Linked DNA regions of Saccharomyces cerevisiae S288C. The gene in region 1 interacts genetically with each later gene. Each region holds a gene or a part of one and is shown on either strand. Other genes may lie near its edges. The genes, in order: LDS1, SCD5 and FMP41.

Region 1 (3,579 bases):
TCATCAATTTCCTCCTTTAGTTCATCTGTATCTGCGATCGGATTATCTCCAATAAAATTATAGTGCTCAAAGAATGGTTCTGCAAGACTATCCAGCAAAATCTTTTTAAGCTTTTCAGTTCTTTTATCGCGTTCTGAATTATTTTTCTTGGGATCTCCAAGCATTAGTTTATTCAAATTGAACAACGATATCATATGAAGATCCGAAGCTCTCTCGGAAGTATTTTTCTCCAGTGTTTCGTTTAATAAATTCAGAAGACTTTTCAAGTTCGCTCTTTGTTCATTCAATAGATCCATAGAGGGTCCATGGTGCGGTAAAAAAGTTTCATCTTCCTGATATGCCCTCTCATTGAGTAAACTGCTATTGCGGAGATTGCTAGTTTGATCCTTGAAGGGTTGTCTAAAACTTGGCCTTTCAGGACTTATGTTGTTTCCATAGTCGCCACGAAATAAAGAATTATTATGTTTGAGCAGCGGATCTTGCTCAGGTAAGATGGAAGGTAAATAAGCCAACGAGTTGGCTCTATGGAATGTTTGAGAATGTGTTGGATCCAAATTAGGGAAAACTGGGGTGCCCGGTTTTTTGTTAGATAAAGCAGAAGATGCTGCTGAGGAGGAAGAGGTATTATTTACAAATGCATTTAAAGTAGCGGAAGTAGTGTTCCAAATCTGGCTCTTATTTCTGTTCATTAAATGGTTTGCAGAAGCCGATGTCCTTGGTAAACTGCTCCTACGGCCCGCAAACTCTTTCAAAGGAGGCAAATCATCTGGAGTAGGCTCCAGTAGCATACTTGGGTTTTGTATTATGATTTCCAATGATCTCTTCAAAATCCTCAATCTGACTGCCAGGGAATTTGGCGAAAGTGGATTGTACGAATAAGAATGAGTTGATTCATTCGGAAGAAACTCTAACTCCTTTATGTCTTCATCCGTTAAGGGCGATGATACGGTTGAATCAACGGATGAAGAAGCTGTCGAAGGAAGTCTTGGTTGTTCAAAATCTAAAGGAGGTGGGGGTTTAGTCTTCCGAAAGCTCGCAAATGTATCTCTTAAACTTTGCTCGAACTCATCACCTTCCTTTTTATTCGGGGTTGAAACGTCACTTAAAGACGTATCGTAATTTTCTAATTCATTGTCAATATGGTTCTCTTGATCGGGGCTCGGTGGTGTCTGCAAAGATGCTACAGAACTGCTCGTACCTTTATGTGTAATCGCATGTTTTTCCTTCAAATTAACAAATGAATGTTCTGAGAGGTTGGAAGCACCGATGTAGGGCATTACTTCTTTGATGTTTACCTATATGCAAATTAGGGAGAGAACAAAACAAAACAAAACAAAACAAAAATAGAAGAAACAGAAAAACAAAGGTGAAAAAAAACAAAAGAGGGAGATGACGAACGGAAACTTTCACTCAATTGGTAAGCTACTGTTTCTAATTTCTGACTTACCAAAAAGATGCAAAATAACTATAATATACCGCTGTTGTGACGATATCCGGGGTTTCTAATCTTTTATGAGCTTTTGTATAGCAAAAAGGTGCAACGACGCCTGAAACAAAGGAAAAGAAGAGGATAATAGGAAAATAATACAAAAAACTGCACTTTGTAACGTTGATTTCCTTTTCAACGAATGCTATGTTGTGGTTAGCGACCTGCCCCTTGCCAAATCTTATTCACCACTTCCTTAGCATGTAATCATTTACTTAAAAAACCCTTGTTTTAATATTTATTACCCGCCATGGAATAAAGCACGTGACTCAATAATACGACGGGATCTTTCTGGTTTTGTGACACATGGAATAATATCATAGTAATAAGTATTATACATATACATATATATATAGATATAGATGTGGAAAAGGAAGTTTCAAATCATTTTTTATTTTCGTTCTTGCCACGAATAAGTGTTGTTATAGTGTAGGGAACAAAGGTACATTATACAAACAATAACAACAACAGGAAATGAGTTTTACAGGTTCATTAGCGCTGGCAGGTATTGGTGGTTTGGTGTACAAGTTTGGCGGAGGCCAATCGTATGAAAAACTGCCATATGTCAACATCCCCTTCAATCAGTACTTGGATAAAGTTTACAAGAAGCACTTCAGCAAAGTTATGAGCCGTACCAGATACGTGCTAATGAACTTTTTCAAAGATGCATTCACAGGAGGTGCATTCATGTACCCGTTCAAAGGGTTTTTAGAGTTCAACACCAATAAGAGCAGTTACTCAACGACTATGTTAGGTATATTATCGAGTTACTTGATAATGTTTGCCCTGGTAAGCTTTGTGTATTGGGCTACAATTACGCCAATGTACACAGCTTTTTTGATTGTGCTGGGCCCTATTGGGCTTTTCATTGCCATTTTTCATTCCTTTTTGCAAGCAAATGTTTTCACTTTATTGTTTATGAGACTCAGTCATTTTAATAATCATTTAGTGGAGGTGTGCTTAGAGAAGAATGGTTTAGAGGAGAATTTGAGTGAAGTCAAACCAATCAAGTACTATGCACCTATTAACTCGATATATTTCTGGGCTTACTATTTCCCATTCAAGTTGGTCAAGTACATGTTAGGCCTGTCGGTTCTTTTTGTGCTGTTGGTTATATCTTTTTTCCCACTTATTGGACCAATCCTTTTTCATATTTTAATTTCTCCTTTCATCACTCAAATTTACTTCACGAAAGTTTTACGTTTACAAAATTTCGACAACATACAAAGACGTGAAAATATTTATCTCCACGCTGGCCAATATGCCTCATTTGGTTTCTTGGCCGGTTTGATTGAGTCCGTGCCCATTTTAGCGGGCTTTGCCATTTCTACAAATACTATTGGTAGCGTTTTATTTAACCTTGATCATCCAATGGTCCCTGAAAATTTAGTAGAAACTCAAGCTGAAATTGAAGCAGCACCACAAGATATCAATCAACAACCGAATCAATAAATTGAAAAAAGTTCACCATTTCTCTCCCCAGATTAAAATTACCTAGCTATACATACTAACCTATGTATATATACACATATATGTATATTATACTCTAGAAAATATTTTTACCGTTCTAAATTTCTTTGTCCTTTGTTCTATCAACTCTCTTTTTCCACATGGTGCGTTCACGCAGAAGAAAATAAATATGTTATTTTTTTGGTTTATTTTCTGCTTATCTATTTACTTTTTTACTATATTTTTATTTATTTATTCTTTGGTTCCCTTCGGTTTCGAGTTTTCATCATAAATTATATCCTCCAACATATCACTAACTTTACTTTCCAACACATCTTGAGATTTTTTATCTTCACTGATATACGAATCTAAAGCTAGTTTATTTTTGGCCAGTTGATGAATCTTTTCCTCTATGGAATCCTTAGTAATTAAAGTGGTTATATTAACTTCCTTTGTTTGTCCCACACGATGTGCCCTATCAGCAGCTTGTCTGTCATCATGTGGGTTAAAACTTTGATCGAATATAATAACATTATTTGCGCACACCAAATTAATACCGAATCCACCTGCCTTTGTTGATAAGATGAAAATGGGAATATCCTTATCTTCATAAAACTTATCTATTAGTAGTTGTCTATCATTCA
Region 2 (4,786 bases), on another chromosome or scaffold:
AATCTGAGGGCGAATTCCTTTCTACCTTCAAGAATCAATTGGGCCATCCAGTCATCTGGAGTGGATTATCTACATCTTCTTTGTTGCTCCATGGAATATATTATTAAGAAATATAACCTTGAGGCAAGGCTTTGCATTTCCATCCATGATGAGATTAGATTTTTGGTGAGCGAAAAGGACAAATACAGAGCTGCTATGGCTTTGCAAATCAGCAACATATGGACGAGAGCAATGTTTTGCCAGCAAATGGGGATAAATGAATTACCGCAAAACTGTGCCTTTTTCTCGCAAGTAGATATTGATTCTGTCATACGTAAAGAAGTCAATATGGACTGCATAACCCCCTCGAACAAAACCGCCATTCCTCATGGGGAGGCGCTTGATATCAATCAACTGCTAGACAAATCCAATAGTAAATTGGGTAAACCAAATCTCGATATCGACAGCAAAGTATCACAATATGCCTATAACTACAGAGAACCTGTATTTGAAGAATATAATAAATCTTATACTCCAGAGTTCTTAAAATATTTTCTTGCGATGCAAGTCCAGTCAGATAAGCGCGATGTGAATCGGCTAGAAGATGAGTATCTGCGGGAGTGTACATCCAAAGAATACGCTAGAGATGGGAACACTGCAGAGTACAGCCTCCTAGACTATATAAAGGATGTCGAGAAGGGCAAAAGGACTAAAGTACGTATTATGGGATCCAATTTTTTAGATGGTACCAAAAATGCCAAAGCTGATCAACGAATCAGATTACCTGTCAATATGCCAGATTATCCCACACTTCATAAAATTGCTAACGATTCAGCAATCCCAGAAAAGCAATTGCTGGAGAACAGGAGAAAGAAGGAAAACAGGATAGATGACGAAAATAAGAAAAAATTAACCAGAAAAAAGAATACCACGCCTATGGAAAGGAAGTACAAAAGAGTGTATGGTGGCAGGAAGGCATTTGAAGCGTTCTATGAATGTGCAAATAAACCGTTAGACTATACTTTGGAGACAGAAAAACAATTCTTTAATATTCCTATAGATGGAGTGATTGACGACGTTCTGAACGACAAATCTAATTATAAAAAGAAACCATCACAAGCAAGAACGGCATCATCATCGCCAATAAGAAAGACTGCGAAAGCAGTACATTCCAAAAAATTGCCGGCAAGGAAGTCAAGCACTACAAATAGAAATTTGGTTGAGCTGGAAAGGGACATTACTATTTCTAGAGAGTACTAGGCAAAATCTGCATTAGCTTTCGCATTTGTATTTATATATACAGCACATTATAATATTATTTTTTTATTTATTTCTACTTACTTTTTTTCGCCAAATGAGAAAACAAAAGTAAGTTGCCCCTATTAGAAAAAGAGTTAACATTAGGAAACGGGGACAAAACAAAAGGTAGAATTCAAAATAGGAATTCAAAACCCAAATTATCTGCATCTTCTCGTTAGCTAAGATTTTATAGATCATTGCAGGCTCGATAAATTTTACATGGTAACGAAACATGTCGTTTGATTGGCTTAATGTTCCGGGATTGGACTTAAGCAGCGGGGACCAAGCAGAAAAGAGGCCATCGAATGGATTAGGACCACCCAGTGTGTCTTTTGATTTTGGTATAAATACTGCTGCTCCACATGATTCCAGCTTTTGGGATCAGGGATCAAGAAGTCACAGTGATACAACTTTGTCTTACAGAAATAATCACTCAAATACAGCAGCTGATAATGCCACTAACGTGAGCTCTCCTCAAAAGGATAATCCACCTAATGGGGAGGTACGAACACTTTCTGGAGGCGATGTGTACGCGGAGTCACCAGAAGACATGCAAGTCCCATTGTCTTTATCACAAAACCAACTTACCCATGAAGAAATAAGGACATATCTAAGATGGTACCACTATATATGTTTGAGAACCCATGGAAAACTAGTAAGATTGAACGACGTGTTTAGGTTCTTGACCAATTTTAATTTATCACAAAAAGTAAAAGATAGAATTGTGGAAATTTTCCGTAGCTGTAAAAATGCGTTAAATATTGGTCAATTTTTCGCTGTTTTAAGATTAGTTTCTAGAGCTATTATATATGGCATCTTACCTCTAAGACGCATGATCTTGGAAAAGGCACCTGTTCCCAAACCACGTCCTATCCTAAGTAGTGAGAATCACGAAGAGGTGTACGAGGAGGTGGAAGACGATGATAGTTCTGCCAAAACTGGTGATCAAAAGGTCGATTTTGACTCATTTGCTTCATTGCTGTTGACTGGTAAGACAACGAGAAAAAGAGTCAGGAGAAGAATCAAAAATTTGAATTTTAAGAGTAAGAAGGTTAGGTTTTCAGAGCATATAACATTTCAAGACCCTCCAAACCTCAATCAAGAATCATCTAATAATAGTGAAGCAAGAAAGCAAGATCCTGATGCAGAAGATGAAGATCAGGATTCTAATAATGACAGTCCTTTGGATTTCACATTGCCCATGGATCAATTATTAAAGAGGCTATATAAGCGGAGAAAAAACAGCGGATTAGTTTCGAGTTTGCCCAGCGAACAACAAGAAACTGAGGAGGAGAAGAAAGTTTTGGAGGATATGAAGGATTCCTTGTCCCATTTCAAACAAATACAGACTGTTGATTCTGCCTCATTGCCAATTTCATCGGTATTTTTACAGAATGGCAATACTCTACCAACTAGCAATGTGAATAACACCACTGTTCCACAGCAACTTCCGTTAGAACCTTTGAAGCCAACCGCCACAGGTTCAGCTAATCACCTGGTGCGAGAAGAATATAATCAGGGGTTGCATCCAAGCAACGGTGCCATCCAAACAGGTTTACAACCTTTAAAACCAACAGCAACGGGCTCTGCAAATTATTTGATGCGAAGTCATATGGAACAACCTCAGTCTATCAAACCTTCGAGTACACCAGAAACAGTTACAAACTCTGGGGGACTTCAACCTTTGAAACCTACCGCCACAGGTTCTGCAAATTACTTGATGAAACAGCATATCTCACCTTCAGTTAATAACCCAGTATCTTCGATGTTTCAGGCGCAATTTACGAACCAATCTTCATCTCCACAAAGTACAGGACCAGCATTTCTGAATTCTCCGAACATTACTCTTCCTCAAAGCAATCAACAGCAACCTTACCAAGAGGTTAATCCGACTCAAGCGAAAATTGAACCATCTAACATATCGCCTCAACACACCTACTCTAACAATGTTCGGATTAATAATGGTAACATCGTATCCATGCCGAAAGTAGAAATAACTGGTGCATTCCCCCCTCAAAACACTCTTCCTCAACATCAGCAATCGCATTTGCTTTCTCCTCAAAATACGATCCCGCAGCACCAACGGTCGCAATTGATATCTCCACAAAATACCTTCACTCAAAATCAGCCCATTCTTTCTCCGCAACATACTTATTCCAATAATCAAGCAACAATGATATCCCCCCAGAATACGTATACTAATAATCAACAGCAGCCCCAACATCTTCCACCTCCTCCACCTCCACGCGCTCAGCAGCAGCAACAAGGGGCCATTGTGCCACCTCAACATATGTACTCTAACGTGCAAAAGCAGAATAATTTGGTGCCGACCCAACCCTCCTATACAAATTCACCAAGCATACAATCTCCAAATTTTTTGTCACCTCAGAATGCTGCTAATAGTTACTTTCAATCTTTACTTTCTTCTTCACCATCTCCAAATCCTACGCCATCAAATGCGTCTACTGTTAATGGCAATAACGCCAGTAATGGCATAAGTTCATTCCAAAATACTAGTGCGGCAATGAACAATACTCAATCTCATCAGACGTATATTCAGCAGCAACAACAACAACAAACTCAACAACGAATATATGGTGGCCAACTTTCTCAAATGCAACAACATCCGGGGCAACTTCACTTAAACAACAGTGATATACATAGCCAACCTAACAAGCCTAATTACGGAATGCTAGGGCAGCAAGTTCATCAACAGCAACAGCAACAGCAGCAGCAATTTCCATTCACTGCAGATGTTAATAGATCCAATTCAAGCGATATTTTGGGTAACTTGCAGTCATTGCAGCAGCAAGTCGATGCTTTACAAATCCAATATAATAGGAGACCATAGTATCGTAAGCTAAACGAGGTGTATAGTTTTGAAAGATAATATATGTAGGTATATGTGTACATAAAGTCACAAAAGTGATGTAATTTATGAACACCTGTTTACTAGCATTATTTATTGTCTTGATTATTGAGCTAGTCTTTTAGTTTCACCAAACATTTAGCAACATGGCGTAAACCTCTGAACAATAGTTAACTAATTTTGCATATACAATGAATGTAGCCAGTAATATTTAATTATTTCTTTAATTTTTTGCTTTTCTTTGGAACCCGCACCAGCCAGTATAAAAATATTGCTGCACAATAGTCAAAGACAATATATGCACTAAAAATGCCATAGTTCATCCATCTACGTGAATACGAAGAACTCACAGTCGCCAGATAATCATTGGTAGAACTGAATTGACAAAAGTGACATTCAGTTTCGGAACTCCCATCGAGCAGATAACCCGTCCCGGTGGATTGCATATAAGGTTCCATATATTCCGAGCATGTCATACCGCTTGGAGGAACAATTTTTAAAAGTTCGTTGCTGGAACAAACGACACTAGCATTGGCCAGTCCTACCGATAGCAGAGCATCAATGAGGTATGTCAGTGGCGATACTCTATACATAAAAATCCAGAATCTTGGTAGAATATTTGGCGTAGCCAGAACACCG
Region 3 (3,062 bases), on another chromosome or scaffold:
GTCACAGTGAATGGAAGTATTGAAAACCACCCTCATGTTAATATAATGCACCCAACTGTAAATGGTACACCACTTACGCCGGGATTGAGTTCTCTGCTAAACTTACCATCTACTGGAGTTTTGGCTAATCCAGTATTCAAATCAACACCTACAACAAATACCACAGATGGTACCGTCAACAACAGCATCAGTAATTCCAATTTTTCCCCAAATACTTCAACGAAAGCGGCTGTCAAAATGGATAATCCGGCAGAGTTCAATGCCATCGAGCACTCCGCTCATAATCACAAGGAGAATGAAAATTTAACGACTCAAATTGAGAACAATGACCAGTTCAATAACAAAACACGAAAAAGAAAGAGAAGGATGTCTAGCACAAGTTCTACTTCTAAGGCTTCAAGAAAAAATTCCATATCAAGAAAAAACTCAGCAGTTACGACTGCACCAGCACAAAAAGATGATGTTGAAAATAATAAAATTTCAAACAACGTAACACTTGATGAGAATGAAGAGCAAGAAAGAAAAAGAAAGGAGTTTTTAGAAAGAAATAGAGTAGCTGCATCTAAATTTAGAAAAAGAAAGAAAGAGTACATCAAGAAAATTGAAAATGATCTACAATTCTATGAATCTGAATATGACGATCTAACTCAGGTCATTGGGAAGCTATGCGGCATAATACCCTCAAGCTCCTCGAATTCCCAATTCAATGTGAATGTTTCAACTCCGTCATCATCATCACCACCATCTACATCTTTAATAGCATTGTTAGAGAGTAGCATTTCAAGGAGTGATTATTCAAGTGCAATGTCAGTATTATCAAACATGAAGCAATTGATATGTGAAACGAATTTTTACCGAAGGGGAGGCAAAAACCCAAGGGACGACATGGATGGCCAAGAAGACAGCTTCAATAAGGACACTAACGTTGTCAAAAGCGAAAATGCGGGCTATCCTTCCGTTAATTCAAGACCAATAATTCTAGATAAAAAATACTCACTGAACTCTGGAGCAAATATCAGCAAAAGTAACACAACTACTAATAATGTGGGAAATAGTGCACAGAATATAATCAATTCATGCTACTCTGTTACTAATCCATTGGTAATAAATGCAAATTCCGATACCCATGATACTAATAAGCATGATGTACTATCCACTCTACCTCACAATAATTGACGAGATAGCGACGGGGTTCTTAAATAGTCTTCTATCTGATGCTTTCGTACTCTTCAACCTGTCCGCTTTTCTCATTGCAAATATTCCACTATAAAGTTCCTTTTAAGAGGAAATCCCTTTTATTCTCCCGCTTTTTTCTGTATTTATGTAACTTCAAGATTTTTTTTTCTATATTTGATATAAACTTTAATAGGGTTCTTCTTTTCAGAAGTTTATCAATTGCTTAAGCCTCCTTTTGTTGATCAACAACAATAAAGGCTTTATTATCGTAAATTTTCCTACAGCATTTATTCTTCATAGAGCATACCGTTATAATTTCACCGTCTTTTCACTACGCTCATAAAGAGAGTACAGTTATACTGCTGCAACCCTAGCATGTATCAAGCTGTGCTGCTTATACCTATTTTGAAAGGGCCATTCCTTCTTTTGCCATTCCTTTTTCGTCTATTTTCCTAAATAGCTTCCTTAGCCTCACGTTTTTTTGTTCGCTTTCAAGAGATGGTCACCGTTCTCTAACTGATAAGGAAAAACGTTTCAGCCAGAACTTCCTATATAGAAATATTCTGAAAGCTATCGAGTAAAGACTCAGGAAATTGCCAAAACGTTATGAGCTACAATTATTTGAAGGCAGCTAGAAAAATTATATGCATTGGGCGTAATTACGCAGCGCATATCAAAGAGCTGAACAATTCAACTCCAAAACAACCGTTTTTTTTCCTAAAACCAACCTCGAGTATTGTGACACCATTGTCTTCATCATTGGTCAAGACCACTAGACCTGCAAACTCGACTTTCAATGGTTTAAATGAAGACGGAACTAACCCCGGGCCCATTTTTATCCCACGCGGTGTGAAGGTTCATCACGAAATTGAGTTGGCATTGATTGTGAGCAAACATTTGTCCAATGTCACTAAGATGAAACCCGAAGAAGTCTATGACTCTATTAGTGGTGTAGCTCTAGCATTGGATCTTACAGCAAGAAATGTCCAAGATGAAGCCAAAAAGAAGGGGCTACCTTGGACTATAAGCAAGGGTTTTGACACCTTCATGCCAATCTCTGCTATAGTCTCCCGCGAGAAGTTCTCATCCTACAAATCAAACTTACAGGATATTTTCAGAGTCAAGTGCTCTGTTAACGGACAGTTGAGACAAGATGGTGGTACTAACCTCATGTTGCACCCACTCCATAAAATACTGCAACACATATCTACCATGATATCTCTGGAACCGGGTGATATCATTTTGACTGGTACACCTGCAGGTGTAGGCGAGTTAAAGCCTGGTGACCGTGTTCACTGTGAGCTATTGCAGAATAATGACAATATTGTCGACATGAACTTCGAATGTGAAAATCGGCCGGGACCATATGAATTTAGAGAAACATAATGTCTGTCGCATTCACGCTTGTCGCAGATAACACGTTATGCGTTACTAATTTCCTACAAGCTTGGCACATATACGACCAATTGTGCTTCTGTATACGCTACGCTATGTAATCACATATCACATGCAGGGTAACCAGCACCTTTTTGGTGTTTTTTCAAATCTCGAGGTCAAGGGACATCTAAAGCAGGCACAAGCATGTGGAAAATTTGTTCTTCACCTATAATATAAAACAGCTTACTCACAAAAGAGACGCCTAGAGGTACGTAGCGCTTTAAGGACTCTTCAGCCAGTTGTTAGCAGATCGCTCAAATCCTTCTTGGTCGTTATTTTTTGAAGAAGAAGGAAAAGCAAAGCCAGCATGTCAATTATGCCAGTTAAGAACGCCTTGGCGCAAGGGAGGACGCTCCTCATGGGGAGGATGCCTGCTGTAAAGTTTTCTACAAGAATGCAATTAAGAAATAGAACTGCGGTGCTATGGAATAGAAAGTTTTCCACGCGTC

What was found.
Region 2: mutations in LDS1 (region 1) and SCD5 together harm fitness more than expected from each alone (negative genetic interaction), as found in Saccharomyces cerevisiae (one large-scale study listed by BioGRID).
Region 3: mutations in LDS1 (region 1) and FMP41 together harm fitness more than expected from each alone (negative genetic interaction), as found in Saccharomyces cerevisiae (one large-scale study listed by BioGRID).

Annotation. Positions count from the first base shown.
Region 1 is NC_001133.9:117,923-121,501, reverse strand, and holds LDS1 (Lds1p), read left to right. Parts: upstream 1-1,960; coding exon 1,961-2,938; downstream 2,939-3,579. Other genes in the region: serine/threonine protein kinase PSK1, read right to left, coding at 1-1,277; DNA-dependent ATPase FUN30, read right to left, coding at 3,188-3,579. UniProt on the Saccharomyces cerevisiae protein: Involved in spore wall assembly.
Region 2 is NC_001147.6:936,074-940,859, reverse strand, and holds SCD5 (Scd5p), read left to right. Parts: upstream 1-1,510; coding exon 1,511-4,129; downstream 4,130-4,786. Other genes in the region: DNA-directed DNA polymerase gamma MIP1, read left to right, coding at 1-1,239; ATP-binding cassette multidrug transporter PDR10, read right to left, coding at 4,363-4,786. UniProt on the Saccharomyces cerevisiae protein: Regulates both fluid phase and receptor-mediated endocytosis. Involved in vesicular transport at a late stage of the secretory pathway. Regulates actin cytoskeleton organization.
Region 3 is NC_001146.8:317,530-320,591, reverse strand, and holds FMP41 (Fmp41p), read left to right. Parts: upstream 1-1,782; coding exon 1,783-2,562; downstream 2,563-3,062. Other genes in the region: SKO1 (Sko1p), read left to right, coding at 1-1,176; PSD1 (phosphatidylserine decarboxylase 1), read left to right, coding at 2,921-3,062. UniProt on the Saccharomyces cerevisiae protein: Tautomerase that converts enol-oxaloacetate, a strong inhibitor of succinate dehydrogenase, to the physiological keto form of oxaloacetate.